4 linked regions of the Rhinolophus ferrumequinum genome follow. The protein of the gene in region 3 binds, or shares a complex with, the protein of the main gene of each other region. Links are inferred from orthologs where the notes say so. Each region holds a gene or a part of one and is shown on either strand. Other genes may lie near its edges.

The links.
Region 1: PFDN2 (region 3) and RUVBL1 share a complex: the UniProt entries of both Homo sapiens proteins name them as parts of the PAQosome complex. The link is inferred for Rhinolophus ferrumequinum from reciprocal best matches to the Homo sapiens genes PFDN2 and RUVBL1.
Region 2: PFDN2 (region 3) and ASDURF share a complex: the UniProt entries of both Homo sapiens proteins name them as parts of the PAQosome complex. The link is inferred for Rhinolophus ferrumequinum from reciprocal best matches to the Homo sapiens genes PFDN2 and ASDURF.
Region 4: PFDN2 (region 3) and PDRG1 share a complex: the UniProt entries of both Homo sapiens proteins name them as parts of the PAQosome complex. The link is inferred for Rhinolophus ferrumequinum from reciprocal best matches to the Homo sapiens genes PFDN2 and PDRG1.

The regions. Positions count from the first base shown.
Region 1 is NC_046302.1:1,213,613-1,221,207, reverse strand, and holds the start of RUVBL1 (ruvB-like 1), read right to left. Parts: upstream 3,119-7,595; 5' UTR 3,023-3,118; coding exon 2,819-3,022; intron 1-2,818. UniProt on the Homo sapiens protein: Possesses single-stranded DNA-stimulated ATPase and ATP-dependent DNA helicase (3' to 5') activity; hexamerization is thought to be critical for ATP hydrolysis and adjacent subunits in the ring-like structure contribute to the ATPase activity.
Region 2 is NC_046291.1:39,096,212-39,104,046, forward strand, and holds the start of ASDURF (ASNSD1 upstream open reading frame protein), read right to left. Parts: upstream 3,234-7,835; 5' UTR 3,092-3,233; coding exon 2,996-3,091; intron 1,253-2,995; coding exon 1,199-1,252; intron 1-1,198.
Region 3 is NC_046305.1:2,296,023-2,304,221, forward strand, and holds the start of PFDN2 (prefoldin subunit 2), read right to left. Parts: upstream 3,244-8,199; 5' UTR 3,178-3,243; coding exon 3,103-3,177; intron 1-3,102. Other genes in the region: NIT1 (deaminated glutathione amidase), read left to right, coding at 4,022-4,482, 4,575-4,678, 4,860-4,993, 5,137-5,262, 5,537-5,803; DEDD (death effector domain-containing protein), read right to left, coding at 7,115-7,491, 7,938-8,084. UniProt on the Homo sapiens protein: Binds specifically to cytosolic chaperonin (c-CPN) and transfers target proteins to it. Binds to nascent polypeptide chain and promotes folding in an environment in which there are many competing pathways for nonnative proteins.
Region 4 is NC_046306.1:22,577,278-22,585,292, reverse strand, and holds the start of PDRG1 (p53 and DNA damage-regulated protein 1), read right to left. Parts: upstream 3,576-8,015; 5' UTR 3,489-3,575; coding exon 3,402-3,488; intron 1,796-3,401; coding exon 1,720-1,795; intron 684-1,719; coding exon 609-683; intron 1-608. UniProt on the Homo sapiens protein: May play a role in chaperone-mediated protein folding.

The sequences.
Region 1 (7,595 bases), on a different chromosome or scaffold from region 3:
TACTTTCTGATCATACCTCATATGTGAAGCTCTGGGCAGGGCAGAAGTCAGTGTTGCAGTCAAAGGAAATAGTAAATTCAAAATATAGTAATGAGCTTGGTATGTCCGAGGGACAGAAAGGCTACAATGACCAAAGTATAACAAACAAGAATGGGAAGATGAGGTTAAAAAGGCAAGCAGGGGCCAGAACTCAGAACAGAATTTTAGAGAGTCCACAGTAATATTTGGATTTTATTCTACATGTAATGGGAAGCCACTGAAAAGGTCTTAGGCTATGTATCATGTTATGATGATTTGTTTTTAAAAGATCTTGATGGCTGCTGTGTGGAGGAACAGACAGTAGGAGTACAAATGAGAGTAGTGACTTTTAGCCTGGGGACCAGAGATAGTCTCCAGGAGCCCACAAACTTTCTGAAATTGGAAATGAAATTGGAAATAAAAGTGTGCGTATATGTTCATCTGTACATTTTTCCAGGGAGAAGATTTACAGCTTTCATCAGATTTCCAAATTAACCTATTAAGGGCTAAGAATCAATGACATATACTACTAGTTTGCCATCAGTTAACCATCCCAAGATGCTACAAAATAAATGCTGTATGAGGTTAAACCTGTGGCACCTTAAGATTCACTAAACGCCTTCCAAATCCTCAAGATCAAATTCCTTGCCTTAAGGGAGGCCACAGCTCTTCTCTCTGGGCAGTGACAACACTACCCTATTAACAGAGTCTTGGGAATCTATCTTATCTCCTCTACCACTATTCCCCATGTGTTGTAGAGAAGTACCTTGATCCCACACTTATGACAGCCCCTAAGAAACTGTGGGTTCAAGGAATGCGTGTAGATGTGCTATATTCCATTTCTGGCTCAGCTGGAAAAGCACAGTGCCCTTAACAGAGCCTAGAAGCTAGTCTTCGGATGCTGCATTTCTAAAAAGATAACAGAGCCACTATGGTTTTTTCCATAGAACCTGTCATATCATAATCCTCAGCATTGAAAGTCTTTGGGAAATTCAAAAGAGATAGAAGAGACTTTCCAAACCTTGGATGTGTACTCTTATTCACACACTAGGACCTCTTCCATTTAACCTTCGTCAGTTTAGGCTCCAACTTTTCTCTAGTGAGGTATGTTCAGTGAGTACTAAAATTTAAAAAAGTGGAAGGGCCTTTAAAAGATCACCTAGTCAAACTCTCTCATTTTTCAGATGAGGATATCAAACACCAACAAGACTGCTGATGTGACCAGAGTCATACAAGGACCTGGTAGCTGAAGTGGAATGCCTATTAATTCAATAAATAAATACCGAGCCCCTATAAAGAGTCAAGTTCTGGATATTTAATAATATTAATAATATATTTATGCTCAGGAAGCTCATAGTTGTACAGAGGCATACAGCATCAGAGTTAAGAGCATGGATTCTGGACTTGGGTTTAAATCATGGCTCTACCACTACCAGCGGAGTGACCTTGGACCTACCTACTTAACATCTGTGAACTACAATTTCCTTATCTGAAATGGTTCATGATAGTGGCATACATGCTAAAGGGTTTAAGGGTAAAATGTACTATAGTCTGCAACTTATTTTGAAATGCAAAAGTGGACTGGTGGATGGATAAATGAATATATATATATGATAAAGCAACAGAGTAAAATGTTAACTGTAGAATTTAGGCACACAGGTATTCAATATACAAGTCTTACAACTTTTTGTGTGTGTCCTAAAGTCAGGGAGAAACAATTATTAGGGTGGTGAAAACAAGACAATGGAGATAAAGCTGCTTAGTACAGTGCTTAGCCCATAGAAAGCACTCAACCAATGTCAGCTATTTGCTGTAACAGGTCCTCAGTAAGCAGAAGCTACATAAAGAGAAATTTGAAAGCCACCTTGACCATACCAATATTTCCTTTTTGGAAAGACGATGCTCAAAATGGAAGCCAGAGACCTTTCTTTGGTCCTCTGTATTAGTACAATTAGGGGAGGAGGAAACAGTCTCAATTAAGGTTTCTGTAGCTGCTAAGTGGGGAGGCCAAGAGGCATGGATCTGAGAGCACAGCAAGCTGAGAGAGCACTAATTTGTGTACACGTGGGTACAAATACACGAGGGTACAAATCCTACCGTTATCATTACTAAACTGAGTGGCAAGAGTATAGGTGAAGTGACCTCTCCCACCCTCAATTTTTTAATCTGAAAAAAAAAAAGCTTGAATAGTTTTGTGATTATAATGTAATACTTTTGGACTTAGCATAGTTGCCACTTAATAAAAGTAGATTGAATTGGAATGGTCAATAGGATGCTGAGCATGAGTGAAGCAGGCTGCTCCTCTCTGTAACTCCCACTTCCCTCCTTCAGGTCCCAGGCCCTGGGAATCAAAGTGAGCTTTTTCAGGTTGATCACTCCCGTACTTTAAAACCCCCACAGCCTCCCACTGCGTTCATAAAAATCCAAATTCCTTCCCACGGTCAGCAAAGCCCCGCAGGAAGTGGTCTCCAATAAAATATAATAATTACTGGCTTAAACGTTTGTCGTCTCTCACCACACTAAAATGTAAGCTCCATGAGAGCAGGAACCTCATCTATCTTGTTCCCCGCTGGATCCCAGCGTCGCAAACAGAGCATGGCACGGAGTGGAGGACTCCCTCAAGACTTGCCAAAGATGAAGCAAGCAGTCAACCGCCCCCGTGGGGCCGTCACCTGCTCTTCTGGAACGGCTCCACTCCCAGTCCATGAGGCGCCCCCTCGCCGCCCCCACAGCCAATTTTCACTGCTCCGAAGAAACGTCAGCGGTACACCCTAGCGCACACCCAGGTCTGAGCCCCCACCTCAGCGGCCCCTCGCGGCGGCGGCGTGCTCAACGCCCCGATCCCCTGGCCCGCCCGCCACACCTCTCGCGCGTTCTCCTGGCCCACGAGCCCCGATGCCGCTTGCTTGGCCAGGCCGCTCTCGTCCAGCCCCAGCCCCTTCACGTGGCTGTGGGAGGCGATGCGCTGCGTCTTCGTGGTGCTCTTCACCTCCTCAATCTTCATCCTGCAGACGTCCGGAATCAAGACCTGAGTGGAAAACCAGGAGACAGTTGCCCAAACCCGGGGCCCAGGTTACCATGCGGCAGTTACTAGAGCGGTTTGTCAGGGCCCGCCTTGGTCGGCGATCCATTGGCGAAGGCGGAAACGCCTCTGCTCTCCATTGGCTCATGACTATGCCCATCGCGGCGGCCGTGGGGGCTCTCCCCACCCACTTCCGGCTGTGTTGCCGGATTAGCATCCCCCGCAGCCCAAGCTTCCTGCTCTGGCCCGGGGGCGGTAACACAGAGAGGATAAGCTCGAAGTTTCGTCTGGGGCTGGGACTCTGCACTGAGGTGTGAGTCTTAACCGTGCCATCCTGTGCATTTCGCATTGGACCGTCATATCCTTCAGAGAAGTTCAAGCTCTTACCTCCGTTTTGGAGATGGTGAAACAGGTTTACAGCGAAAGCTTTGACTTTTGCTTACTGAGTTTTCAGGCTCCCACGCCTTTGCGTCTCCCGGGGAAGGCCCACCCCAGCCAACCACTCCCACCCATGTGCTGCTGGGTATCCTCCATGGAACTGGCCTCTGCTTCTCCTGGCTTCCACCCTCTCCCTTTATTTAAATTAAGTTGGCTGCAAATAACATTTTATGTTTCCAAAACTCTACGACCCAGTAAGGTAGTATAATTCCTAATATAGATAAAGACAGGCTAAAACAGGCCCAATAACCTTGCACAAGAACGCACAGCAAGTAATTAACAGAATTGGAACTCCAGCTGAGGATTTAAGGCTTCACAGCCTGTATAATCTTCATCCCATCCCACAACCTCAGATGAGACAATCAGCCAGCAAATATATCCTGTCAGGCTCCATAATGATATTAACACTCCCTGTACCACAGTGTACTCTCCCATCCATCCATTCATTCAGCAAATATTTGTTAGCACCTGCTTTGAGCCAGACACTGCAATGTACTAGGAATACAGAGATAAAATACAAAATCTCCAGCCTTGATAAGCTTAGTCCTTAGTTAGGAAATTTGCAACATTAGATGTGCAGGAACATGTACACCCCACCTGGTGTGCAAGCCCAGAGCAAGGCCACCTAGAACAGCCTCGAATGCCAGGGAAGGCGTCATGAGGTGATAATGCCTGGGCCAAACCCTGATGAATGGATAAGTCTTCTTCAGAAGCAGGTGGCATGTCACCTTTTTACAAATGAGTAAACTGGGGTCCAGAGAAAGGGAAAGACTTGCCCAGAACATAGGACAGCTTACATTAGGGTTGAGACAGACCTGAAGTCAAATCCAGCTGCAGTAGTTCCTGACTCACATCCCTTTGTACTTCTCCATTATAACTTTTGAATCTGGGTTTCTAATTAGTTTGCAAGAGTATTAGGTCAATGTTTGTCTCTCCCACTAAACTACAAACATTATGAGAGTGTAGACCACATTTGTGTTGTTCATCATTTTAACCCCAGTGCCTGGTACACAGCCTGGCTCACAAGTAAGCCTTCTTATGAATTCAAATAAGATTCTAGACTCCCCACATACACACTTGAAATCATGCAGTTTGCTGCATGTATTTTACAAACTGGGTTTTCTGGGACTTGGTAATGGTTTCTATCAGTAAATGGAATGTTGTGGCATTTTCAGAGCCCAAAAGAGTAGAAGCAAGGCCTTGGAGAGCTGAGGTTGTTACTGATGACCTGCGATACATCAACCCTAGGGATATCACCTCTAGGACACCCAGAAGGTTGCTTAGCATCTCATTAATTTATTCCTGGTTATGACCCTTGGTTAAGAGCAATTCCTTTCACACTGTGAAAGGGGAAGACTTTCTTCCAACTAGTAGTCAAAATGAGGTACTGTATGGAACTAACTTCTTTGTGTATTGTCCAGTTAGGAGAGAAGACCATTTTTACATTTATTATTTGGCACAGAGTAAAGGGAAAGATTTCCTACCAGCCAAATATGGGGGTAGGAGATAAGGACTTTGGAGTTTAGAGGAATTCCTAGGAGCCCTTGGTCCAGTGGTTTTCAAACCACATTCCCTGGAGTTGTGGTATTCTTTCATGGCCACTATGAGTGGGGAAGGGGAAGTCTGAGAGTGCAGGATACCTGTTCCATGCCCCTACCTCCCCTTCCACCAGAGCTGTTCCATTTTTTTTTTTTTTTTTTACTGCTAATGAATAGTTCAAAAATCACTGATCTGGCTTAGCCTTCTCATTTTACAGGTTAGGCAACAGAGGCCCTCAAAGGGGATGGAAACTGTCCAACTTCACAAATGGAACAATTGCCTGACAGTCCTTGACCCCAGATTTGGTGTGCAAAGAAGCTAGACCTGGTTGCAGAGCCAGACAGTTCCTTTCATTTTGACGGAAGTCTATGTGGTGGGCCAGTGTCCGAGATACACAAGGTGAATGAAGGGCAGTTGAGACCCATAGTAGTAGACATGGGTTATTTTACCTACCCAGAATCCATTCAAATTCTTCTGGCTACCATCACTCTAATTTTCTTTAGAGAACCACCCTTCCCCCACTTTGAGTCCAAATCCTTTGGATGGGTTGCCCCTAACACCCAGCGTTATTTTAGGGATGGACACAGAACTCTGGCCTATCAAAGTATCTCATCTGCCTGGACATGGAGATTGGTTTGGGAATGTGAGTGAACAGTCCAATGACAGTCCTGGCACTTTTACTGGAAAAATCAGGAAAGAAAACTTGGGTCATCGGTTTCCAGGTCATCTTTGTCACTTCATAGGAAGACCGCCTGAGAATGAAGCCAACACATAGGAAAGGAAAGCTGACAGAGATTCCTGATAAATTCCTTTACATTCCCAGATCCAGGCTTGCCCTTCTTACAATGTTGTATGGCACTCACATTGGGGCTTAAAATAATTTGAGTTAGGTTTCTATCTGTGGGTATTGAAAATCCGCATCAATGTGATGATACATATGCAAATAATTGTGTGGACTGCTACATTCCAGAATTGTGCTGTGTGAAAACACCAGAACTGCCAATTCTCTCACTCTTTTCACTCCCATGACCCTTGCTGTGTCAACTCCAATCCCTCCAACCCATCTTTTTTACATTCCAAGTTTGCTCATCTCAGCCACTTGGTTTCCGACCCTTCTGCTCCCTCCTTGCATTGACTTCTTTCACACCTGACCTTTGAACCCACATGCCCAGATCAAGACTACCTCTACCTTCTCCACTGCCTCATGAAGGCTGCTGTGTATGGCGGCAGGCAATTATTCAGTGTCCCCATGGAGCCATTACACTGTCATGGTCTCCAGCTTCAATTGAGCACACAGAGTTGCCCAACTACTGATTAAATGTCATATTAGTTAGGATATTAATTCAGCTACAGTAATGGAGAGATACAAAATAATAGTGAACTAAACAAGATAAAATTTACATTTTTTCACATAAAGTCCAAGCAAGCATTCCACCTGGTGAGTTCTATAATCATTAAGAATCTGTCCTCCTCTTTCTCTTATTCTGCCATTCCCCACACACACCTTCTAGTGCATGGCCCTAGATAACTGCTCAAGCTCCCCCCTAAAGCCTATGTTTGAACCAACAAGAAGGAGAAAAGGGGGAAGGGAGGCTATGCTCCTTCCATTTAACCTTGACCTCAAGTTGCATCATCATTTCTACTCCTATTCCAATGGTCATACTTAATCAAATGGTTACAGATAGCTGAAGAGAGGCTGATAAACATAGTCATTAGCTGAAAAGATACATGTCCCCACTAAAAATTCTATTCCCAGGTAAAAAAAGGAGAGAAGATAGATTGGGAAGCAACTCTTCCTCTCCACCCTAAGTTGCAATCTGCCGGGCATTGCTGGGTTCTTCTTGTGTGCTGACTCAAAGACACACATGACCTTCCTCCTAGTCAAGGTATCTCTACTAACTGGGTTCCAGATAACAATCTGGGCCCCACTACATCTCTCAGAGGCCTTTCTCCACTTATTACCCTCCTTATTCGTATAGTTCCACCTATTCTCCCTGATCATTCCCCACAGGATATAAACATACTCAATCTTTCCCATCTTAAAACACAGATCATATTCAATGATGAAAGACTGAAATTGTTTTCCCTAAGATCAAATACAAGATAAGGATGCCGGCTTTAGCCTCTTCTATTCAACATTCTATTGGAAGTTCTAGCTAGAGCAATTAGTCAAGAAAAAAAATGATCACCCAAATTGGAAAGGAAGAAGTTAAACTACCTCTATTCTCAGATGACATAATCCTATATATAGAAAACCCTAAAGAAAACACACACACACACACACACACACACACACACACACAAACTATTAGGGCTAATAAATTCAGCCAAGTTGCAGAATACAAAATCAACACACAAAAATCAGGATATAAACATAATCTTCCCCATTTTAAAACACACAATGATAGGTTTTGCAGAAATAGACTATCCCATCCTAAAACTCGTAAGAAATTTCAAGGCACCCCAAATAGCCAAACAATCTTGTAAAAGAAAAATAAAATTGGAAGTCTCCTACTTCCTGCTTTCAAAACTTCTTACAAATGTATAGTGATCAAAACAGTGTAGTACTGGCATAAAG
Region 2 (7,835 bases), on a different chromosome or scaffold from region 3:
TTCAGTAACATTTGCAAAACAATACCTTAGCACACAGATAAACAAAAGTTACCCATTATCCCGACATCTAGAAATTGCTACCATTGTCACTGCGGTAAAACTCTTTTTTCTGTACCATAATACCATATTTCTTTAACAAAAAAGCCTGCTACACATTTATAATTTACAAAAATTATAGAGTAAATCCTCCTTCAAATCTTTGCTATACACTATATAATTTGCTTTTACCTATAAACAATACAGTGAGAATACTTTTTTCTTATTAATAAGTGGTCTTTTACAACATTACTGTATAACATATTACAGTTTATTTAGTCGATCCTCAAGTTTTAGATATTTAAGGTGTTACCAACTTTTCACTATTAAAAATCAATGTTGTGATGAATGTCTTTATAACTAAATCTCTGTACACTCCCATGATTATTTCCTAAATATCAATTCCTATAAATGGAACAGTGGGGTCAACGTGTTGTATGCCTTTAAGGTTTTGATATAGTCTGCCAATTTGTTCTCTAGAAAGTCTGTATCAATTGTGCTTTAACCTCTAATATTACCTAAGTGACAACATCAGAAATGTTTAACCTGTCAGTTATCAAATCTTTAATATGCTTTAAAGAGCACAAAATCATTTCTTCTGAACTTTAAAATGTAATTTTTGACAGTATAACTACAGATGAAGCAGGAGCTTGCTTGTTTATGGATGCATTAAATAACCACATTAAATATTTGGAAGATTTGTATAAAAAAGATTGAGGGATAGGAGAAGTAATTTATCCTTTTTGTTTTTCAACAATTATCCACTTTCACTTAAAGGAATAGTTCCCTCTCTCCTCAATATATTTAAAGTTCATTTATTTCTAAAGAAAATATCAAATTCAAGTACAAAATAAATATCATTAGTGAATACAGCTCCAAGATACCATAGTAGCATTAGTATCACTTGATTCTAAGGTAGTACGAGTTTTATGATGGGGAAAAATATAATATCAACTATGATTATCTGTATGTTTATAGATATGATTATCAACAGATATCTATATGTGATTTTACATAATCTTGGACACTTTTCACTTTTGAAGTTTAAAAAAATGATGAAGTCTTACAAATCATATATAAAATTCTTACAACTTTGGTATACAGTTAATAAGATAGAATCAAACCCTCCCATATACTATTCAGAATCACTCTAATAACTTACCCTGTGTTTCTTCAGGTTAGAAAGTTCATCCACAACAATTTTTTGTTCTTTAATCTATTGAAATAAAGAAAACTTCTTAAATCAGAGGTTCTTGAAGTATGCTGAATGAGGGCCCATTAAAAAAAAGTAGAGATGGGATAAGGGGCTATAATGTACTGATTGTCCAAATTGGCAATCTGTGAACACAGATTCTTTTCAACAGCAGTCTGTGCGAGGGTACAGGTGTGGAAAGGCTGAGGGACGAAACAGCGATTAAACTTGCCAAGTGTTAGACAACCCACTGAATCCAAACAGAGGGTTTGGTGTTGGTAACCAGCATTCATTCAAGGGCCATGGTTAACAATCAAGGTTTTTATCTTTTACTTGAAACAGACACTAGGCACCAGTTTTTCAATGATTTCTTTTATGTTTTAGCTTATTTCAATAATAAATAGCAAATGGAATGAGGGGTGGGCTACTTCCCCCTCCCCACCAAATACCAACACTTTTCATGATTTGTGTACTATATGGTGCAGCCCAAGCACGTGTACTAAATGCTGTACCTGCAGTAAGACCTATCACTTTCCAACTTTCTTCATTAGTCTTTGTATGCCAAAGACTGGCACAGCGCTGACACTGCTGAAGGAGGCCTCACTTTTTATAAGTAGGAAAGGACTCAACTAAGTGGAAACTGAATTTCTAACTTTTTTCAGTAATGGTGGTTATTTTGTGAACATGACTGATCACATAGTATCACTAGTATCTCTAAAATCAGGTTTTATAATCTGTTCTGCCTCACTCCTCAGGGATCTGTCATATCAGTGTAAGTGGCTTGCTATGGCAGTGAGTGGACTATGTGTGGTTTGAAAATTCACCCACCAGGAGTGTATATCCCTCTGTCTTTCCAGCTAAGTCAGTGCAGTAACTGACTAGACTGAGTTAAATTGGAAGACCATGCACAACCTCCTTGAAACTTAGGTTTGAACATCGCTTTCCCATTCATTTTAGGAACGGCAGGTCATTTTTCTCTTTACTTCAAACAAGGAAACTGTGATACAGAGGGATTAGAGACTTGCCCAAGATGTCAATGTTAGTTTGGGTTTGAAGCAAAGAATCGAGGACATCTGTATCTCAAAGGCTATAACCATCCCCATCTCCAACATATTTTTAAAGGTTTTGTCTTTTAATGCCAGTTAAGATTTATATTATACTGGCTTCGTTCCCCCTTTTTGGAGGGTGGAGGAATGACAATAAGACGTGTGTTTTAGGATCGATTGTTGCTCTGGCTAACGTGGAGAATAGATTGGAAGAAGGTAATGATGGATGATAAAGGGCGTTTGAAAGTCTTTGCTGGGTTTCCGATGGTAAGTAGATGAAGGTGGCTGGTTTAGGATGGTTAAGAGTGTACACGGTGACAAAGGGACTTATGTGAAATGAGCTTCAGAAGCAGAACGAATAGGACGTGATGGACGTCAAGGATGATTCCCAACTTAGTGGCAGTCTTAATGGATGGTGGACAACTGAATGGATGGCGGTGACACTTTCTGAGATGGAGAATATCGGCAGCGGATCTGGGTTGGGCAGTATTTCTAAAAATTTAATCCCAACTAAATCTCCGCCCCACTGCCCCAACTGGGTCTAATTTCGGGGCAAGTTTCAGGATCCCCCTTAACTGTAACTGTCCAGAGCTAAGAATAAAAAGAGCGAAGCCGAGGTGGGCAAAGCCGAGGCCGGGCCATGCTGCAGCGGTGGGCATTCTGAGGCCCAGCGGCACCCCGTCCCGCGCCCGTGGGCCTTCTCGCCTTGTCCCACACTCACCTTGAAGCTAAGCTCCTCTTTGTGAGGGGCCGAGTTGTCGGCTGGGACCAGCCCGGCTCCGTTTTCTGGGCGCGCCTCCCGGAAGGGAATCTCCATCGAGCGCAAAACATGCAGGATGCGCAGCCCGGCTAGCGCCTCAGCAGCCTCCGAGCCCCCCGACTCAGTACGTCCACCATCCCAAGGCTCCACCTCCTCCCTCTCCCCGGTCCCATGAGTCCTACCAATAGCGTCTGCGCGTTCACTGCAACGCCTGCGCAGTCCGGGTCCGGTATGAGCGCAGTTCCGCGCGTGCGCACAGGTGCTGAGGGAAGCGCGTGAGCAGAGCCGGGTTGTGAAATCTGGGAGGTTCCTGAACAGTCCCCTAGTGGATCCGATATAGAAAGACTTTTGTGACCTCTTCACATTCTCGCAACCAGTAGACTGTGAGTTGTATGCGCCCCCTAGTGGTAAATATGAAGAATAGAAACGCAGTAGAAATTCTAGTTAATATTTTTTATGTAGCCGAGGCCCAGATGTGAGATACATTGTTGGCAACGAAACTGTACAGACTTGGTAAAGCTTTTGTTAACGTGTTATTGGGGTTAAAAGGGAAATGCAGGATGCCCAGTTAAATATGAATTTCAGATAAACGAATAACTTTTTAGTATAAGTACGTCCCACACAGTATTTGCAGTATCTCACTTCTATGGGAAAAATTATCCAAAACTTGGGAACAGGCAAGAAATTATTGGATGTTCTTTCAGTGCTTTTGTGGGCTTGACTTTCTATAGACTGGGCAATTTTACAGTTCTGTAGGGGCAGAGGTTAACCTGTAGATTTTTGTCTGGCAGAGATGCAAATAATTTCTATTTGGTGGACCGGATAACCCCACAGGTTATGATTTATTGTTCTGTAAGGCATTAACCAGTTTTGTGTCTAACCCTGCAATCCTACACTAACGCGTCTTTATTAACATAGGCCTATCTTCTCACAGACCCTCTGAATTGGTTTAAATGTCTTACCTGTTCCAACATCAGTTAATGAGTTGAATAAGATTTTGACATATGTTCATTTTATATTTGCATGACAAATATGATTTTATATTTTTGAAAATTATACTTTAACATTGAAAATCTCAAGTTTTCCTGAAGCTGCCCGTGTGGACTCATGATGGAGCCAAACTCTGCTAAGGAAATGTACCTCATAGGTTGTTTAAGCCCAGGATTATCTTTTATTGGCTCTTTGAATAAATTCAGAGTGGTTATAAAACTAAGTTTACTGTTTGTTTTCATTTTTAAGGATTTAAAAAAATTTTGGTTTTCTTTCTGATTTGTGCGTGGCTATTACACATTGGTAGCAGCAGCGATTGGGAATTGGGCTTTATGGCCTAATCATTCAGTGATATCTGTTGGGTGATGGAGATCCAGTCTCTATTGGAAGAGAGATGGCAGAAAATCCAGTTTTTAATCTTTTTGTTTGTCCTTTGCAAGCTCAAATTAATTAAGAATTTTGTGCTCATTGGAAAGACCAGTTTTTTGAGATATGGGCTAGCGAATTTTTATGTTTACTTTCAACCTGAGATAGAGGTTGGAACACTGAAGCTATAAAGTGTCTGTGTCTGTGTCTATGATTTAGAATGGCTTGTATATCTTGCTGTGAGAATGTAAAATGTTTTTGTACTTTTGGAGGGTATTAATAAATTCCATTATAATGTCTCTTAAATTAAAGGGCAGTCTATAGACATAATTATGCACTTGTATAAATCCCAAAATTCAAAAAAAGCCCAGAATTTCTAATACTTTAAATGTGCTAGACTTTTAAGAAAATAAAGTCCTTCTGCTAGCTTAGAAACATTTGAAGCATATGTTTGGAGAAATTAAAGTGAATTTTTGGAGAAATCAGACTGGATTAATAATTTGGGTTTAAGAGAGAAAATGCATTTATCAATGCTAAGTAAAATACAAGTAGATGTTTTATTTTTTATGACATTTAGATTTGTTTTCTCATGAAGAGATTATTTAATCTGAATTTCCTAATTCATACACTGGTTTACTGATTAAATAAGCTAGCATTACTGCTACAGAATATTTAAATTTATGAGAAATGTAAATTGGTATTCACTAAAATGAGTAATTATTCAGACAAACTTTTTATGTCAACAATAATTATATTTCGTACCGTATAAATTTAAACACAATTCCAAATTTTTAGGTAGCTTAAAACCCTGAGAAAATATCAAATGGAGTTAATTAATGATTAATCATTAGATAACTAGATAATTTATTTTAAAAGGTGAATACTGAAACAGTGATTAATATAAGCATAATTTTAAGTTTACATACTTTTGCTTCTTGTTTTTATATGCCATAGAATGGCTATCCTTTTGGATAATGTAAGGGACATGTTCATTTTTGACATTTTCAGAAGGTGTAAAGGGAATGTGTGTGGCTGTAGACAGTTATGTGTATGAATGAACTTTGTTTGCTAAAGTGCTTGCATATGACAGTTACTAATTATCTACCTCCAGTTCTCTCTATGAAACAGAAGTTATTAAATTGGTTAAAAGTTGTAACTAATATGGGTGGTTAAGATCACATTAAAGGCAAGAATAATAGAGAATGCAAGGTAATGGGATGAGTCTTGTTTTGTAAGGAAAAAGAGAGTTCTAAAGTAATTATTTTGTTTCAGAATATGAAAAAGCACAATGAAAGACAAAACTTGAGGAATTATATAGTAGGTTGAAGATGATTTGATGAAAGATGATTTGCATTGGCTTATAATACCTAGCGCCGAAAAGAAACTATGAAATATGTTTAAATTTTGGCACAGTACATTCAGTTTGGAAGCCTTATTCACAAGATAATTTTTTTTAAACTTTACTGCCAAATATTATATTAATTAAAAACTGAAATTTCGTCTTTTCTTAACTCCATTCCCCCAAATCTTTAGGGTTCACCACAGTTAAGCTGGTAGGAACCTAGGAACATGTCTCCCCTGACACCTGGGGTGACATTTTAATTAGTGTTCAGAGTGATGGTGACGTTTGAAGCTGAAGAGACACCAGCATATTGGTCTACTTTGTAGACCAATGTGTGTTATTGTGTGTATTGTATTATTATCCTGGCTAATGTATGATGTATATTACTAGCCTGGCTTCCAAGGTTTAGATGAATATTACCCCTCCTCCTATGGCAGTGTCTGCCTGACTGGGAACTCTAGTTAATGCTTGAATTGACTCTTTGACCCACATGATTTCCATACTGAGTGGCCAGAAACCCTACTGATTGTTCTATAGCTGTTCATGCCCTTTTGGGGGTGGGCTGTTGGTTATGGCTCTGCCTGGTGCTGATATTTCCACTGATTTACATGGGTCACCCAAGATGACATAATACTAAATGCAGTAGTGATATGATAATCTTATTAGTATGGTGCTGAACTGTTTTCAAAGTTCTTTCACATTTTATCTTATTTTTTTGTGTTTCTCCAATTGCTTCTATTTCCCCCCTCAGCTGTTGTAACTCCGGCAGTGCTTGAAGTCACACTTGGTATCATTTGTCTAACTGGTTTAGGACTACCCATCAGCAGCTCACCATGTAACTAGCTCGGCTGTACTTCTTCTTTCATTTAAGTCCATTGCTGTTGTTTATTCTACTTAATAGGATAATTTCATGTTTATTAATGCTATATATACACTTCCTCTGATGCTACATTCTTAATGTATTTCATTTTGTTTAATAATGCATAGTTTACCATTCACCATTTTGTTAAAGTGATGTATATTATTAGCCTGGCTTCCAAGGTTTAGATGAATAGTACCCCAACCACAGTTTTCCCTTGCTTTCTCATAATACGGATTTGTCTCTAGCCACAGATTTGTCTCTAGCCACAAAAGTCTCTTTCCCATCTCTCCCAAAGGAGGTATGGAATAGGGCTGTGGTCCCCAAATGCCAGTTAGTAGGTGGGTGCCCTTCTCACTATGTAAAATCACCTGAAAGTCTTGTTCAAATACAAATAGATTTCTCAGTCCTTTTCCCAGACTTATTAAACCAAATGTTTGTGGATGGAATATGGTTGTCTGCTGTATAACATAGTGCTAACCATTTAACCTTTAACCAAAATGGCTGGGTTTGAATTTTGGCTTCTCCATTTATTAGATGTGTGAGTTTGGTAAGTCATTAACTTCTCAAGCCTCAGTTTCCTGATCTGTAAAATGGGACTAATAATAGTGCCCACCTCAAAGGGTTGTAACGAGGATTAAATGAGTTAATATTTGTAGTGTTTATTATAACAGCTACAAGCACATAGTAAGCACTATTTAAGTATGTGTTAAATGGATGAATCAGGAGTTCCTTCAGATGATTTTGACACACAGGTTTAGGAGCCAGTGGAATGGACAAAACTAGGCTCTGAAATGTTTGGCCCAGTTATCTTTGAAGATATGTCTTCTCTTTTACTTCCACTGATTTTCAATAGGGCTAGCTAGGGCTGTTCCAAGTTGATACTTTCGAAAATAGGTGGAGGCTCATTTGGTTGTTACAATGATTGGCTAGTTCTGCCCATTCTCGTGGGGTAGGACTAACAGGGAGCTGACTGAAAGGAGACAGACTGAGCCACAAACTCCTTTAAGAATCCTAGACTCGCCGGCAACGGGCAGTCTCAGCAGCAGACAGTGCTGGGAATCGCATGGGGCGGGAGTCAGGAGGGGCTGTAGGACCAAATAGCAAGGAGGTGAAATCAAAGGAGAGGTAATCTCACACAGGTGTTTTGCATCAGGAATTCTGTTAGAAGATGAAAGGGCCTGAGATGTTGGACTGATGTTTATAAGCAGGGATCTAGTATCTGAACGGGGTCTACCAGGTCC
Region 3 (8,199 bases):
CAACGACATCACCCTAATTCAAGCCTTTATTACCTCTTGTCTGAACTAGTACAAGTCTTTTAAATTATCTCCCTATTTTTGGACTCTCCAAATCCATCCTACACACTGCTGCTGGTTTCATTTTCCTAACACTTAGATGACATAGAAAAATGTTCATGATGTATTATTAAGCTTAAAGAGCAGATTACAAAACAGTATATATTATATAATACAACTTTTATAGAACAGTATATATTGTAGAATGACAATGTTATAAAATATGTAAAATACACACGTCCTCCCTTTTTATCCACACACACACGCGCACACACAAACACACACACACACACACAAGGAGGGGAAATCTCTCAGAGAATATGCTCCTAGACAGTAAGAATGGTTCTCTCTCGATTGCAAGGTCATGGTAATTTATTTCTTACTTTGTACTTTTCCCTGTGTATTCTACAATCTTCTCAATGAACGTGTATTATTTTATGTAATAGGAAAAAAACTCAATAGTGGAACACATACCCTTCTATCACTCCCTCCCTGCTTCCATCAACAACTCCAGAATTCTTTGTCGTGCAAACATCCAACTTACTTGGAAGATCACATCTTTCTGACTTATACCTCATGACTTCATTAAAACAACCGGTCACTGCCCTTCGCATCAATCTATGCTCTGTGTTCTCCCCTTCTTCCTGTTTCCACTACCCCTGTTCAAAACTATCCACTCCTTCAGGCTCAGTTCACGTTCTTCTGGTCTGATCATTGTATAAGTGAAAAAAGTAGGTCTGTCTGATTCTCAAGTCCCTCAATTAAAAGCCCTGCTCTTCCAGTTACTGACTCTGGGTGAGTGAACTAAAGCCTCTGAAGCTCAACTGTCCTTATCTATAAGGGAAGACAATACAGCCTACTTCAATGGCAGTAATTAAGTAACAGAAGAGAAAAACCAGTAAAGTGCCTCGCACAATCAGTTACTTGCTTCCATCTTGTTTATAAGTGACATATGTGGCTCCTATTTGCAGCAATGATAAATCTTATGCTTTTTACCCAGCGTTCTCTCTGGAACACAAACAAAAGCCAGAGTGTTAAGCAAGAACAGTCTCAGAACTCAATGATCACACTCCTCAGTGTCTTCTGAGGGCTTCTTTCTCCACCACCCTTACATGTTGGTTCCACCCCATTCTGCTTCTTTTTTCACTGTCTGTACAAACCCTAGATGATTTCATCCACAACCGTGGCTCTGTCTACTATCCAGAAAGCCACAATTCTCTACCTTAGAGCTCCAAGTCAGATTTCTTTCTGGAAGTCAAGATTCATAAGTCGAACCACTTAATAAATGTCTCTACCTGGATGTCCCACAAGAAACCCAAACTCAAATCCTACAATAAACTTATTCCCTCCCCCCAAACTTGTCCATCTTCCTATACTCCCTGTGGCACCACCATTCATCAAAGACAAAAGCCTGAGAAACATCCTAGATTCTCTTTTCACCCTATTTTCTGCACATTCAAGTCTTGCAGACCATTTCGAACTTTAAGTTCACCTGCATCCCAAACATGTCAGGCAGTTTCATATCTTAGTGCTTTTAAACACATTGTTCCCTCTACCTAGAAAATCCTCCACTTCCTCTTTGCTTGACTCACTTCTCTCATCCTTTAGAATGGAGCTGAAGGATTATCTCTTCTAGAAAACAAAATAATTAGCACTTATTAAGCCCATACTATATTCCAGTCACGGTGCAAAACACTGTGCATGCATTGTCTTGCTTAATAACCAGTATTCAATGAAGAGGTAGGTACCATTAGGTTTTCTACAGGGCAGGAAAGGCCGAAGAAGTAACTCTTGGGAGGTCATCCTCTATGGTAGAAATGGTCAAACACATGTCTGTCCGACCCCGGTGCATTTCTTATCTTAGTCTTAGCCACCCTGCTATACCACAGCTTCCCTTTCTGCCACCACCCCCAATCCCATAACCTCCTGCTTAGTTGGGGTCCCTCCTCTAGCTGCCCTAAATAAGGGCCTGTGTGGAACACTGCAAACCTTATTGTTTGGTTTGTCTTTTCTCAAAGGAGTCAAGCTACCTTGAAAACAAGGTCTATTTCATTCGTCTGTTTCCCTGGACCCAGCAGAGTATCTGGCACATAGCAGACCCTCAAAAAGTATCAGGTTCCCTCTCCCTTCCCTTTTCCCCAACTAAATCTGAGGCTATGTCTTCCTCCCTCCTCAAAATCCCACAGCACTTTATAGCTCTCTTCGGACACTTACCGTCTGCCTTATATTAACATTTCGTGTTATCTTACGAGTATTTTCCCCAAGCAGACTAGAACTCTTCGATGGCAAGGGACAGTTTGAAAAAAGACGTCTTTACGCTGATACATTTGCCTGAGTAATTGTTCAACGAATAACTACTGAAGGAATCTGTAATTAAAAGAGCTACTGTTTAGCTATGTTTTCCTTTCTCTTGTGTAGATTTCTTCTCATCTCTATTAAACAGTAGCCCCACTATTAGCAAAACATGCTTCCCAAACCACAAAAGGCGTTCTGATTAATTTATAAAACGCTGCCCGATGCTGGGCACTAGGGGGAATGCAAACTCGGATTAGAAGAGGGTTTCTGGCCTCTAAAGAAATTCAACCTAATAATGACTCCCGACTCAAAACAGTATGAGTGTTCGGCTATGTGCGTCACGTGGCTCTGCAGTGACTGCAACTGTCAACTTGGTTTCAGGGTCGGGTAACACTACACAACCAGCCCGAGGACGAACCCCCTGGGATTCGCTACGAGCGGCCCGGCCCAGCTACATCCCGTCTGAGGGTGCGGAAAAGAGGGGGACGTGACGACCCACGTCCCGCCAGACCTGTGCATCTTCCCAGGCCCTGCATCTGACGGCTCTCGCTTCCAGGGGGCTCACCCAACACCCCACGGCGGCGCGGCTTTCAGCTTCCAACGCGCCCACTCTCCCGCAGGGCTCGGCTGCCTTCTCCCACGACCCTCCCCTCTGTGAGCGGCACCGAGCGCGGGACTGGAGTGAGGCCCGCAGCAGCCACAGGCTGCCCTCCTCTCGCGTCGCCTCCGGGCCCTGCCCGGCTGCCCTCCTCCGCCTTCTCCGCTCCTCACCTGCTCCGCCGACACCGCCCCCTTCCCCGCGCCGCTCCCGCTGCTCTTGCCCGCGCGACCGCTGCTCTCCGCCATCTTCGCCGCCCGAGGGGCTTCCGGCGCGCAGAGCAGACCCGTGCGTCACTTCCGCCCGCGGGGTTTCCGCCCGCTCGCCCCTGCGCCGCCGCCTCCAGGCCGCTCTCGGGTTAGGACCCTGCGAGTGGTTCTGGCCGTGTCTTCCTGGAGGGCCTCCTCCGCGTCCCGCCGGCCGCGGTGAATGCCGCCCGCGGTGCTCTGACCTGTGCAGCCGAAATGCCCGCGCTGCGAGGGCAGGGAGGACGGGTTAACGGGAGAGTGGGGGCGCGGGCTGGGGCCCGCGTGCCAGCGCCCCCGTCCACCGCGGGTGCTGGGAACCAGGGAGGGTGAACCTGCCGTCAGACTGGGGTGTGCGGGAGGTGCACTGTCAAAGGAGAGGCGGGGAGCACCAAGGAAGTCTCTGGGAGAGGCCTTGGACTGCTGAGACGTCGGGCAGAGGACGAGGGCTTCCGTTTAACGCGAGATCGCGAAGTCGAGGTTTCGTCCTTCTTCCCATCTTGTGATCTCTTCCCGTGGCCCATAATTACCTGTAACAAAGAGCGTCTTCAAGACTTGGGCGCGGAGGGGGGTGTTGACAGGCAGGGCCCTGATTCAGCGGCACAGTATGAAGAGAGAAGTCAGAGAAGCCTAGAAATTCACGGCTTGAGGGAGGGGTAGGTGTCCTTATTTCTCACTCTCCTCAGGCAGGGCTTCATCGTAAGGCCTCATCAGCTCCTGTCCCTTCTGTGCCCTGGACTCCGGATACCTCGACTCTCAGTACTCTGTGCTCAGCCCAGGTAACGTGTTTGTCGTATCTTCAGTGCCTGGCACGTAGTAGGTGCTCAAATGTCTGTTGGATGAATGGATGGCGGGAGACAGTGGGGTACGAGCCATCCACAGAACATTTGATCGGTGGGCCATTGTTCCTTGTACAGCAGCGTCAAAGGGGTGTCCAGCTTTCTTGCCTCCCCATTTGAGCCCCTTGCCGTTCAACTTGGGTTTCCCCATGCTGGGAAATCTGAGTCCTGCCTGCGCTCTCCGCAGGGCCAGAGCCATGGCTCACTCCCCATCCTCCTCCTCCTCCTCCTCCTCCTCCTCCTCCGGGGCACTACCCCTGGTGGCTGTGTGCCAGGTAACGTCCACACCAGACAAGCAGCACAACTTTAAAGCGTGTGCTGAGCTCGTTCGAGAGGCCGCCCGACTGGGCGCTTGCCTGGCTTTCCTGCCTGAGGCATTTGACTTCATTGCACGCGACCCTGCAGAGACTCTGTACCTGTCTGAGCCACTGGGTGGGAGCCTTTTGGGAGAATATACGCAGCTGGCCAGGTACCAGGGAAAGGGGGAGGGAGGGAGTTTCTTTGTTGGTTAATGTCTCTGGATTGCCAGATATGAGAAGTGTCAGTGTCCCCTTCCCCCAGGGAATGTGGACTCTGGCTGTCCTTGGGTGGCTTTCACGAGCGTGGCCAAGACTGGGAGCAGACTCAGAAAATCTACAACTGTCATGTGCTTCTGGACAGCGAGGGTGAGATGTCATAACTCTAGTCTGCCTCTTCCCAGGCTTTTCTAAACAATTCTCCAGAATTCTCAACAGGAGTATCCGTACTTCTGTTCCTGGCCTATGAACTATCACCTTGGGATGAGAGGAACTAAAAGCTGGGCTTCTAGAGAACCAGCCCCAGGTTTCCTCCTCTCTTTTACTCCAGGGTCGGTAGTGGCCACTTACAGGAAGACGCATCTGTGTGACGTAGAGATTCCGGGGCAGGGGCCTATGCATGAAAGCAGCTCTACCATGCCTGGGCCCAGTCTCAAGTCCCCCGTCAGCACACCAGCAGGCAAGGTGGGACTGGCATATAGTAGGACGAGAGGGAGGGGAACAGGGACACTGGCATGTAGTAGAGGAGCAGCAGCCCTAAGGAGTAGGGTAGCAGTGTTGTGACAGACGGGATGGGGGCTAACCAAGCAGGCTGGTTTTCCTTCCAGATTGGTCTTGCTATCTGCTATGACATGCGGTTCCCTGAACTGTCTCTGGCATTGGCTCAGGCTGGAGCAGAAATACTTACCTACCCCTCGGCTTTTGGATCCGTAACAGGCCCAGCCCACTGGGAGGTAAGAGGACACCTCTTCAAAACACACCTTCTCTCAACCTGTCTTCCCTCGGCCCTGCCAGTTGACAGACTTTCTCTCCCTTCCCAACTAGTGAGAAAATTCATTTTCCAGATTGTTGCCTCTCATATGTTAAAGAACAGTTAACATCGTAAATCTTTCCTAGGCAGTTACCAGAATGGTCACAGTGGGTAGACTGGCCTGCAGTGTCCATTGCCTGTCAGTTCCCCACTAGCTGCTACGTGTGTGCGTCAGTGAAACACATCCCCACCCCCAGGTGTTACTGCGGGCCCGTGCCATTGAAGCTCAGTGCTACGTAGTGGCAGCAGCACAGTGTGGACGCCACCATGAGAAGAGAGCAAGTTACGGGCACAGCATGGTGGTGGACCCCTGGGGAACCGTGGTGGCCCGCTGCTCTGAGGGACCAGGCCTCTGCCTGGCCCGAATCGACCTCCGTTATCTACGCGAGTTGCGCCAACACCTGCCTGTGTTCCAGCACCGCAGGCCTGATCTCTACGGCAGTCTGGGTGGCCCACTGTCTTGAGACTTCTCACTTTGGGGCGCTGAGACCCCCATTGTGAGCCGGGGTTGCTGTAACTTATGGGCAGGACCCAGGCGCAGCTCCCCTCACTTGGAGGCTCAGCTTCTTGGCAAAGAAGAAACTCACCTGAGCTCAGATTTCAGTTTCAGAAAGGTGGAATTTTATATAGTCACTGTTTATTTCAAGAGAACTGAAATTATGCTGAGGGCTGAGCAGCACTGGCATTGAAAAAAAATATAATAATCATAAAGTCTGTGTGTGGACATCTCCTTCGGGAGCTGAAATGGGAGGTGGTGCTGGACCAGCAGACTAGGAGCCATCCAGGCCTCCTGGCTCACGCCACAGGCCTCCCTACCTACATAAAAGTGCGACACTCAGTGCATGGCCTGGCCCCATGCTCCCAAGCCCAGGAGTGGGAGTGGGGGCGGGGGTGGACAAAAAAGGGAGCTGATACTAAATTCCTTCACTTTCACCTACTGTGCCCTGTGCCCAAGCCAGAAGGATGCAAAGGGGAAAAGGGCTGCAGGGTCCATCATTTATTTTCACTTGAACATGGAAGGAAGGCTCACACTCCCCCTTCCCCTTTTCAGGGGGAGTCTATTTTCATCAGCAGCCTCGCCCCGCCCACCCGTGCATGTGTGCACAGACACACCGCAGTCAGTGGGGAGGGGCGACCAGACTGACCTATTCCTCTTACCTACTCTCCCCTGAGGGTTTAACAAAGGGGACAAAGGAGGAGCCACACCAGGCAGAGGTCTCGGCCATGGTGTGGAGGGAATGAGGCAGAGGAGCAGCACCAGAGGCCAGGAGACAGTGGGAAGGGCCACAGCTTGTTTTTAAAAAATTCTGTAATTTGGGAGAGGGTGGTGATTAATTTCCAAAACCCACTTCCGAGTCCCACCTTCCACACAGCTCCCTTACTCACAGCCCTTTGGTTTTTCAGACAGGATTTAAGAGCCCTCATGAAGCCAGTAGCACTGCTGACCCCCACGCACGCACGCAGACGCAGTGTTCACTTCAGTCCCTTAACGGAGACTGCGCTACAGCCTTTGCTTGTCCCTGCACATCTGTCTTCTGGCTCAGTGGCAAGGTGGCTGTAGACACATGGGGTAAGTGGGAAGGGGGACAAACAGGAAGCCCAGGCACATGGCTGCAGGGAGGGGTGGGGACACCGCTTCCATAGTTCTTTGTCTTTTCCTTAAAAAAAAAAAAAAAAAAAAAGGCAGGGCTGTGACTGGTTGGCAGGGTAAGAACAAACCCCAGAACAGAACAGTGTGCGCTCCAGACGTGAGTGGCGGGGCAGCCCCAAGGAGGTCAGGGCAAGGCCTGGAGCATCAAGTTCGTCAGGAGCTTCTGTCGACCCAACTCATAGTCCTCCTCGTCCACGTTCACCAGCAGCTTGATAGCTTCGTGGCCCACGGCCTGCTTCAGGGAGTCTGTGATGAAGACACCTTTGAGCGCCTCCAGTAACGAGCCGTTGATGTAGTCGCGCCAGAATGCGTCGAGGTAGGTGAGCTCGGAGAACTTGATGTCGCAGATGATGGAGCCCAGGTCCCGGGACTTGAGGATGGTGTTGGCCTGGTTGAAGCGCTCAAACTGGCGCTCGAGCGGGTCCTGCCTGTTTGAGAAGACGTTGCCTTGCAGCGCGGTCTCGTGCTGGCAGTACTCCGCCCGGACCCGCAGTCTGATGTCTGGGGAGGAAGACGTGCACAAGAGGCTGCGGTCAGGGGTGGCTGTGCGAGAAAGGCTGGCAGAACAGGGTGGGCAACACATGACACTCCCTACCTCGCCCCTAGGACTCGTTCCTTCCCAGGGCCTGAGAGACCCTGGCCCTAACGCAGGAGGTTGGATCAAGTGGGCCAGGCCAAGGCCAGATTCCCCATCATTCACAAGCGGCCCCTTCTTCTAACAGGCCTTTTCCTAGTCACCTCACTACCTTGTCATGACCTGGCACCGTACAATGTGGATGTCACAATGGCACCACTTTGATTTAGTATCAACTAAAAAGAGCTGAAATGCACCCTGCCACAGAGGGGGAGGAGCCCGAGACACCCCAGCCTCGCTGTGCAGCCACCACGCGAGCCCAAATGCCCAGGGTCCGCAGTCCTCGTGCCCTCTGCAGCCCCCACTTCCTCACCACATGTCTGCTTTTCCTTGGGATCTGCTGTCACTGACTTCCGGCGTTTTCGCTGGCTCCCGAGTGTGGCTCTCCCTCGAGCTGGCCTCTTGCTACACATCTGAGGGCCCGGAGTGGGGCAGCACACCACAGGATAGTGGGGAGGCACTGACCAAAGGGTTAGAGGGGAGAGGACAAAGTCAAACACCTGCCACGCAACGAGGGGGGAATCACACTGAGCACGGAACACAGTAGCCACGATGTGACCCCCAGGTCGTGGACA
Region 4 (8,015 bases), on a different chromosome or scaffold from region 3:
CTGCCCTTTTCCCTGCTAAAGACCGATTTGCAGCCTGACTTTTTGCCTTTATGATGCTTCTCCAAAGAGCTTCAGGGATTGTGGTTGTGGAGATCTGAGTAACACCTGCTGAGTGCACAGCTCTCTTGGCACACAAATGTGGTCTTGTCACCTCCAAGCATGAGGTGACATGAGGCCTGCAATGACGTACAACCGTGAGAATATGCTACGGTGGCATTGCTGAAGTAGTGCCAGTCCTGGCTGCTGACCTCTGGACTTCTCACCTGAGAAAAACAGAACTATATTTTCTTAAGCCTCAGTTTGCTGGGTTTTCTGTTATTTGTGGTCCAACTTGTTCCTCACAGACAAGCAAGCACTATGCTAGACACGCATACTGTTTTCTTTCAACTTCACAACAACTGTGCTATGGAGACACGCAATACCCACCCCCTGCTTTACAGATGATGAAATAACTCCGCAGAGCAGGGACTGAAAGCAACATCAGTCTGAACCCTCTAACACAGGCGCTTCTCATCAAGCTGCCCGAAGCCTGATTCTCAGTTCTGCGTGAAGACTAAGGCTGGTGGGGAAGGCAGCTGTGTCCCCGACCCATGTCCAGGAGGCCTTACCTTTCTCAATCATTTCCTTTGTCTGAGGGTGAGGCATCTTGATAAACATGTTCCCGAAGCAAACCATCACATCGTCTGAAATGGCAAATGCATTCCTTCAGCAAATATGTCGGAGCACCTACTACCAGCCAGGCACTGTTTTAGATGCTGAGGACACAGCAGAACAAGACAAAGTTCCTGCCCTCATAGAGCTTAAGTCATAGTGGAGGAGGAGGAATAAACAAGCAAAGATGTATCATTTGTCAGACTCTGACAAGTCTAACTACTGTAGAGAGTAAGACACCTGGGCAATGCCAGAGTAGGGGAGGGACTTCTTATACCAGGTGGTTTAAGAAGGCCTCACCAATTATGTGACATCTGGACAGAGATTTGAACAAAGTGAGGATGTGAGTCCTGCAAACATGGGGGGAAAGAGTGAGCCAGGCAGAGGAAACAGCAAGAGCAAAGATCAGGAATGTGCTTGAGGTGTTAGCAACAGCAAGGTGAGCAGTGAGAGTGGAGTCACTGAGTGCGGGGAGGGTAGAGATGATGTTGGAGTGCTCACGGGCGTCTGGCTTACATGGGGTCTTGCAGGACTCTGGCTTTTACTCTGGTGAGATGAGAAACAACTGGAAGGTTTTAGACTTTCCAATGCACTTTAAACAAAATTCAAACTTCCCTTCACTGTGGCCTGGCCTCTGGCCCATCTTTCCCAGCCTCATCAAATGCCCTTCCCCTATGCTTCCTCTGTTACAGCCACTTGGCCTCTAAAGAGCCCCCATTCCCTCCTCCAACACCTACCCCATGTCTAGTCCCTTCTTCAACTTCCTCCCAATTTTCAATTATGTATTTATGTCGTTCTACTCATCTGTAGAACACACGGGCAAGAACCGCAGTTTGTATACCTCCCAGCACTTTCCTAATGCCACTGGTGAGCCAGTGGCTAATGGTTTGTCATGGAGGTGAGCAGCTAAAACCCTGAGCCACAGTGTCAGACCTGTGAAATGTTCTCCCCTATCTCCAGGGGCAGGCCGTGCCACAGACCTGTGGCCTCCTGCCTGGTCTCTCTATTAAGTACAAGATGGAAAACGGAACAGGCCTCCTCGGCTGCAGTAAGGAAGTCATGACTTACCAGAGAGGCTGAGATCCTTCTGCAGGGCCCTGAGGCCCTCTCGGTTCTGATTCCTTTTGGTGTCCAGGTCCACAATCTGAAAAGTTCAGAGGCAGGAGGGAACACAGTTACCTCTTGCCCCAGCCTATCACCTCACAACAGACCAGGGGCTATTAAAACCTAACAGAGACAACAAGGCGTTATTCCTGGCTTACTTCCAGTGTCCTGAAAGTAAAATGGGCTGATGTGTGAATATATATTTTCTCCCACTTAGCTCTCAGATGTTTAAAGACCATGCTTTGTACAGGTGTCTTCCCCCTAGAGAAGGTGCTGGGAAAACGTCTGTTAACTAAACGGATAATTTTTATTATCCACTGGAGTGCTAGTTCACAGGCTTTAGGGCATTTCAGAATCACCAGGGGAGTGGAAACCTCTCCCTGCACAAGCTCCTCCAGCTGATTCTTAATTAGTATCATGAGAAGCCCAACTAACTAGACTGGATCAGCAGGGGTGGGACACTGAGACGGTGGTAACAACACAACAGCTGCTAAGGAAGTGAGGAGGCGGTACAATGTGCTGCTTGAGAGCGCTGGCTCTGGAGCCAGAATAGCCAGGTTTGAATCCTGCTGCCCGCTATGTGCTGTGCAATTCCACCTTCCTCTTTACCGGAGATACGAACAGTACTCACCTCCTAGTCATTGAGCCAGGAGCAAAATGAGTTAGCACAGTAAGTACTCAATAAATCTTAACTACTATCATCATCGCCCAGTACACCTTGATGCCCTGTTCAATAAGCTCTTCCTGAGTCTTCTCCCTCGAAGTAAATACCAGACCAACCAATCGATCAATCATTCTAACTGGAGATGAAGAGTCATGACTCATTCTTGACTCCTCCTACGCTCTCACCCCTATGTAACCATCATCGAGACTAAGGCCATCTCCAAAATATATTTCTGACCCATCCGCTGTCTCCATCCTCGCCGCCCAGGATCAAACCCATCCCTCACCTGGACTGTGGCAACTGGCCCCCACCAGGCCCCTGCCTCCTTACAGTCTGTGCTCCACAGAGCGGCCAGGGGGATCCTTTTATTAATAAAACCTAAATCCAATGATCTCATCCTCCCGCCCCCCATGAACTCCCTTCAAACACCCGGCACTTCAATTAGAACCAGGCCCGAGCTTCCTCTTCAGGTCCACAAGGCCCTCTACGACCCCGGCCTCACCTTCCTCCCGCGTCCCCACCCCTGCGCAATCACAAACCACTCAGGCCTCTTTTCTATTCCTCTTCTCCCTTCAGGGCCTTGACTGGGGCGGTGCAACCCAAGTCACTGAGAGTACCAGGAACTGCATTTTGAAAAAGGGGTTCAGGTAAACCGCCCAAAGGGGTAATGGAGCGGGATCCGGAGAGCACGGTAAGGGGCAGAGGAAGGATGGAGAGAGAGGGGATGCCTAGCACACAGCAGGCGCTCACCTAAGACGTGCCGTATAAATGGGTGAAGCGCGGTGCCGTGCCCAGCGTTCCACCACGTTATCTCACAACTGCCCTATGTCTGTCCTTACAGCCAGCGGACCACCAGCCCCGGGCCACTCACTGCCAGCCGGCGCTGGAGCCAGATCCCGGACCCCGCGCGCTTCCCCACGGCGCTGGTCACCAGGCCGCAACCGCCGAACCCAGGCGCCAGCGCCGCGGACGGGCCTCCCACCTGCCGCTTGTCCGCCAGCACCGCCTCGGCGAGCTCCTCCACTTCCACCAGGTACCGCAACACCCGTTCCGCCTCGGGGGACAGCATCGTCACCGGCAGCTCCAACTCCGCAGGGCCGCGACCCTGCTCACCGTCTGCTCCAGCTCCGCTTGCGCACGCGCCGCTCTGAGAGGACTCACAGTACACATGCGCAATTAAAAAACGAACGGCGGCGCGCAGGCTCCAACGCATGCGCGTCAGCCGAACGCGAGAGGCGGGGCCCAGCTTTGGGGGCAGGGCTGGAGCGCCCCCTGCAGGCCCAGAGAGCACAGGCCGCAGTGTGGCCTCAATCTCTTCCTTCTTCCCCTCACATATTTCTTGAGCACCAATCTATTATGTGACAGGCAGTTTTAAGTACTGAGGATGCAGCAGTGAGCAAAACAAAAGTCCCTGCCCTCGTGCAACTTCATCCTAGTAGGAAACACCAACAGTTAACGACAAAACAAATAATTATATACTCTGGCAGGCACTGATAGGGCTTTGGAAAGAAACAAATCATTCTTGCCCTGTTTGGCGAACACCAAGGAGGCTCATATGGCAGTGCGACTTATATTTAATTTTATACATTCAGTTTCCGATCTATAAAATAGGGGTTAATAAAAATCCCCCTCATTGTCTTTCCGCAGGATCAGAAGGAGGCAGGAATCATTTTTAATGCACTTTGACCTCTGTGTTGGGCCCACTGTCTGGAGTAGTTGACCTAGACCTAAGGAAAGGGCTGGAAAACCATAGGCAGTGAGTAATGAAGTTCCAGCTCAGAAAAGAAGTTCTGTACGTTCTGGGAAGCGAGTCAGTGTGGGCTGTAGGATCGGGGAGGACCTCCAAGAAGAGGCAGGCAGATGGCAAGTGGCTGCCGTTCAGAACCAGAGGGTTCCCTAGAGATCATGCCCAAACCCCTCATTGTATAGCTGGAAAAACCAAGGCTCAGAATGCGGCAAGGACTTTTAAAAGTCGGCAGCGGACCTGATGTTAGAACTCTGATCTGTTGCCTCCAAGTCTAGCTTTTTATTCTCCCCTTTTGGCCCCTTGTGACCAAGCCCTTGCACACCCCTTGCCTTACTTGAATTTCACAATAACCTTTGCCCCATCTCACAGCTGCAGACTCCGGGTGGGAGAAGGGCCATGCTTTGTCATCTAGAATGTCAGCAGCAAATGTGGGTCTAGAAGCTCTCTGGCCTCCATTCCACAGCAATCTCTGCACCCTGAAAAAAAGCCCTCTCCAAAACTGTGGCCCTAGAAGTCTCAATGGCATCTCCTCTTTGCCTGGCCGTTGGCTGCCTTCAACTGCCTGAGGCAGAGCTAATTTTCCCTGCAGCTGCCTGGTATAGGGAAAGAAGGAGATTCATTAAGGATTCCTCATTGAGGGTGAATTTGTCGCCAAACCCAGGATGTTTTGTGTAAACACCTTCTGGTTCAGAAATGCAGACACAAGCCCTGGGAAGGAAGGGGGAACATTTGCCAAAGGAAAAATGGGGCTCATTAGGCATTCCTGGGACCTAGACCCCAGAACTGGGTCTCCTCCACTTTGGGACCCAAAGAGGCCTGGACCAGGCTGACCTCTGACCCCTGCCAAATGGGCCTGAATGGGGAAGGGTTGAGGGAGACTCCCAAATTGACAAATTCTTGGCTGTGACCGGCCCTTAGAGGGCACCCCTGGCAACTGGAAGTGCTGGAGAGGGAGGTCATATCCAAGACATTGAGACAGTTAGACCTGAAAGGACTCTTGTTTCAGAACCATCGATTTTACAAATATTTATTGACAGCCCAGTTATAGGGATTCTGCCACGAGCAAAACAAGACATGGTCCTTGCCCTCAAAAAGCTTCCAGTCTGGTGGAAGAGACAGACAAAAAAACACATGAACAAGTAAATATATCATGTCAGGTGGTGATTAAGAGCTCTGGAGAACAATAGACCAGGGCAAGGTGGAGAGGGAATATGAAGGGGTTATTTGAGATACGGTTATCAGGGAGGGCTTCTCTGAAGAGGTGGCATTTGAGCAGAGAGATGGAGATGGTAAGGGGGTGAGCCATGTGGATATCTGGGGGAAGAGCATTTCAGGCAGAGGGAATAGCAGATGCAAATGCCCTGGAAATTGGAAGAACAGCAAGGCCATTGTAGGTGAAACTGAATGAGCAAGGGAGAGAAGGTAGGAGGTGAGGACAGAAAGGGGAAGGAGACATGCAACATGTAAGGCCTCGGAAGCCCTCCTTGGAAGTCAGCTGCAGACACTGCTGCCCATACCTGTGGCTTCCTGCTTCTCTCTGCTCACAGATGCAGGTTGTGTGCAGAATGCAGTGAGTCAATGTCCACAGAAATGGCCCTCAACTAAGAAGAGAAAGGAGTTAGTGGCTGCATACCCCAGTTTCTTTGCCCTTCTGTGGGATAGCATGGTCGCTGGACCAGGGGTAGAAGTGGGGATGGTGAGCACTGGTGAGATTCTCAGGGACTTTGCACACACTCTTCAGTCAGCCTGGATTAATTTTCTCCCACACCTTTGTACCTGTGTAACTACTACGTATCCCCCACTTATCAGCTTGTCACCTCTTCCCATAGGTCAAGAGTCCCTTCTTGTCCCCCACAGCTTCCTGGGCTTCCCCCATCTCTGCATTTACCTCACCATCTTTTTTTTCTCTAATCATCCCCCTCTCTAGTTGTGAGCTCCTCGAGGCAGAGACCTTATCTGTCTTGTTCGCTGCTGTGTCTCTGGAATCTACAATGGTGCCTGGCACACAGTAGGTGCTCAGTCAATGTTTACAGAATGAATGAGTGGACTCAATATGAAGCAGAATTTCTAAAATACAAAGTATCCAAAGATAAACAGAGCTAACTCAAGGGTAAGTGGTTCCCATCCCAGAAGGTATTTAAGGCTGGACTGCCACATGGTCGGAATATTGCAGAGGGTGTGTCCCTCTGCAGTCCTGAATGGGGGTGATACCTACTAAGTCTTTTCTAACCAAATAAACTCTACCTGGTCACACTGGTGTATGCCCCCCCATCTTTAACCACCCGAAGCCCTGGCCAAAAGAACATGGCTGCTGGGGCGTTGGGGACTGCAGCCAGGAAGAACGATCCTTCACCCATTCCCCTTGGGTCCCTTTTTACTGTTTCTGTGCACCCCCCTTGGATAAGTGTTCAGTGACCAGTACCCACTTCCCTCCTTGGGGAGGACTGCCCTCAAGGCTGCTGGAGCCTCCTGGGGAGACTTACCCTTCCTCTAACCCATCCTAACCCTTCCCCTAACCCAGGAATATGAAAGATGACCTTTCTTGCTTGGGCAGCTGGCGGGGTTGTGGGTGGATAACTCTGAAGTATAATTACACTCAAGTTTCCCTGTGGGCCAGGCTGAAGCGGCCACCCACGAGACATCCGCAAGCCCTGCTTGGCTTCCTTCCTTCCCAGTCCTGCCTCCCCGACTCCCTTGTGGTCAACCCGCCTCAACAGTCCATCTCACTCAGTAAAAGTCAAATGCCCCACCAAGGTCCACAAGGCCCTACCTCTCTGAGGCATCTCCTACCTCCTTGCTAGTCCTCAAACATGCCAGGCATAGTCCCACCTCAGGGCCTTTGCACTGGCTGCTCCCTGTGCCTGCACTTCCCCTGACATCTGCATCCCTTCCTCACCTCCTACAAGTCTTTGCTTAAATTCCATCTTCTCAATGATGTCTGCCTGACCACCCTATTTAAAACTGCAACCCTTACCCCGCCCAGTACTCCTGATCAACTTCCTAAAAAAAAACACCCACCAAAAACCTATTTTTAAAAATAGCATTTGTCACTTTCCCACGTGCTATGTAATTACATTTATTGTTACTCTCCTTCTGCTAAAAAGGAAGCTCCATGAGTGCGGAGATCTTTGTCTCATTTGTTACTGATATATCCCAAATGCCTAGAATAGTGTCTGGCCCATAGTAGGTCTCAATAAACATTTTTAAATGAATTCGAAAAAGAACCAGAATCCTAACCAAGGCAGATTCTCTCTGAGGCCAAGCTCTTAACCCCAATGCTGAAGGTGGGGGAGGGTGGAGGGCAGGAATGGCAGATCATGCTAGACTTTGTTGGCTAAGGTAAGGGGATTGTATTTTTCCCCCCAGACCAGTATGAAGTTACTGGGAGGTTTTGAGCAAGCACAGAACGTGATTCGGTTTACTTTGTGAAAGTCCCTCTGTCTGTGGGGATAGGATGGGCTAAAAGAGGTAAGTGTGGAGCAGTCTTCTGGGTGTGTGTGTGTGTGTGTGTGTGTGTGTGTGTGTGTGTGAGGGGTGGGATGATGGGGACGCTGAGACGGAGACGGACAGGACTTTGGCTGCATGGGGGCTGGGGCAGTGAGAAGCCAGCTCATATCCTGTTTCTCTAGGCAGCCTGAGCACTGCCCCATGGGCTCTGGCCTCTGAGTAGTCCAGGCTGGGCCTCCCAGCTGCTGACAACATGGCCCTGTCCCACAGATGGTCTGTTTGCTCTTGTGGGTGGTCCCCAGCTCCTCCCTCTGCTTCCTTTGTGCCCTTGGCTTGGTAAGTGGAGGGGAGGCCTCCACCCCCTCTCCTCCCCTGACCCAGAGAATAATCCCTTATATTCAT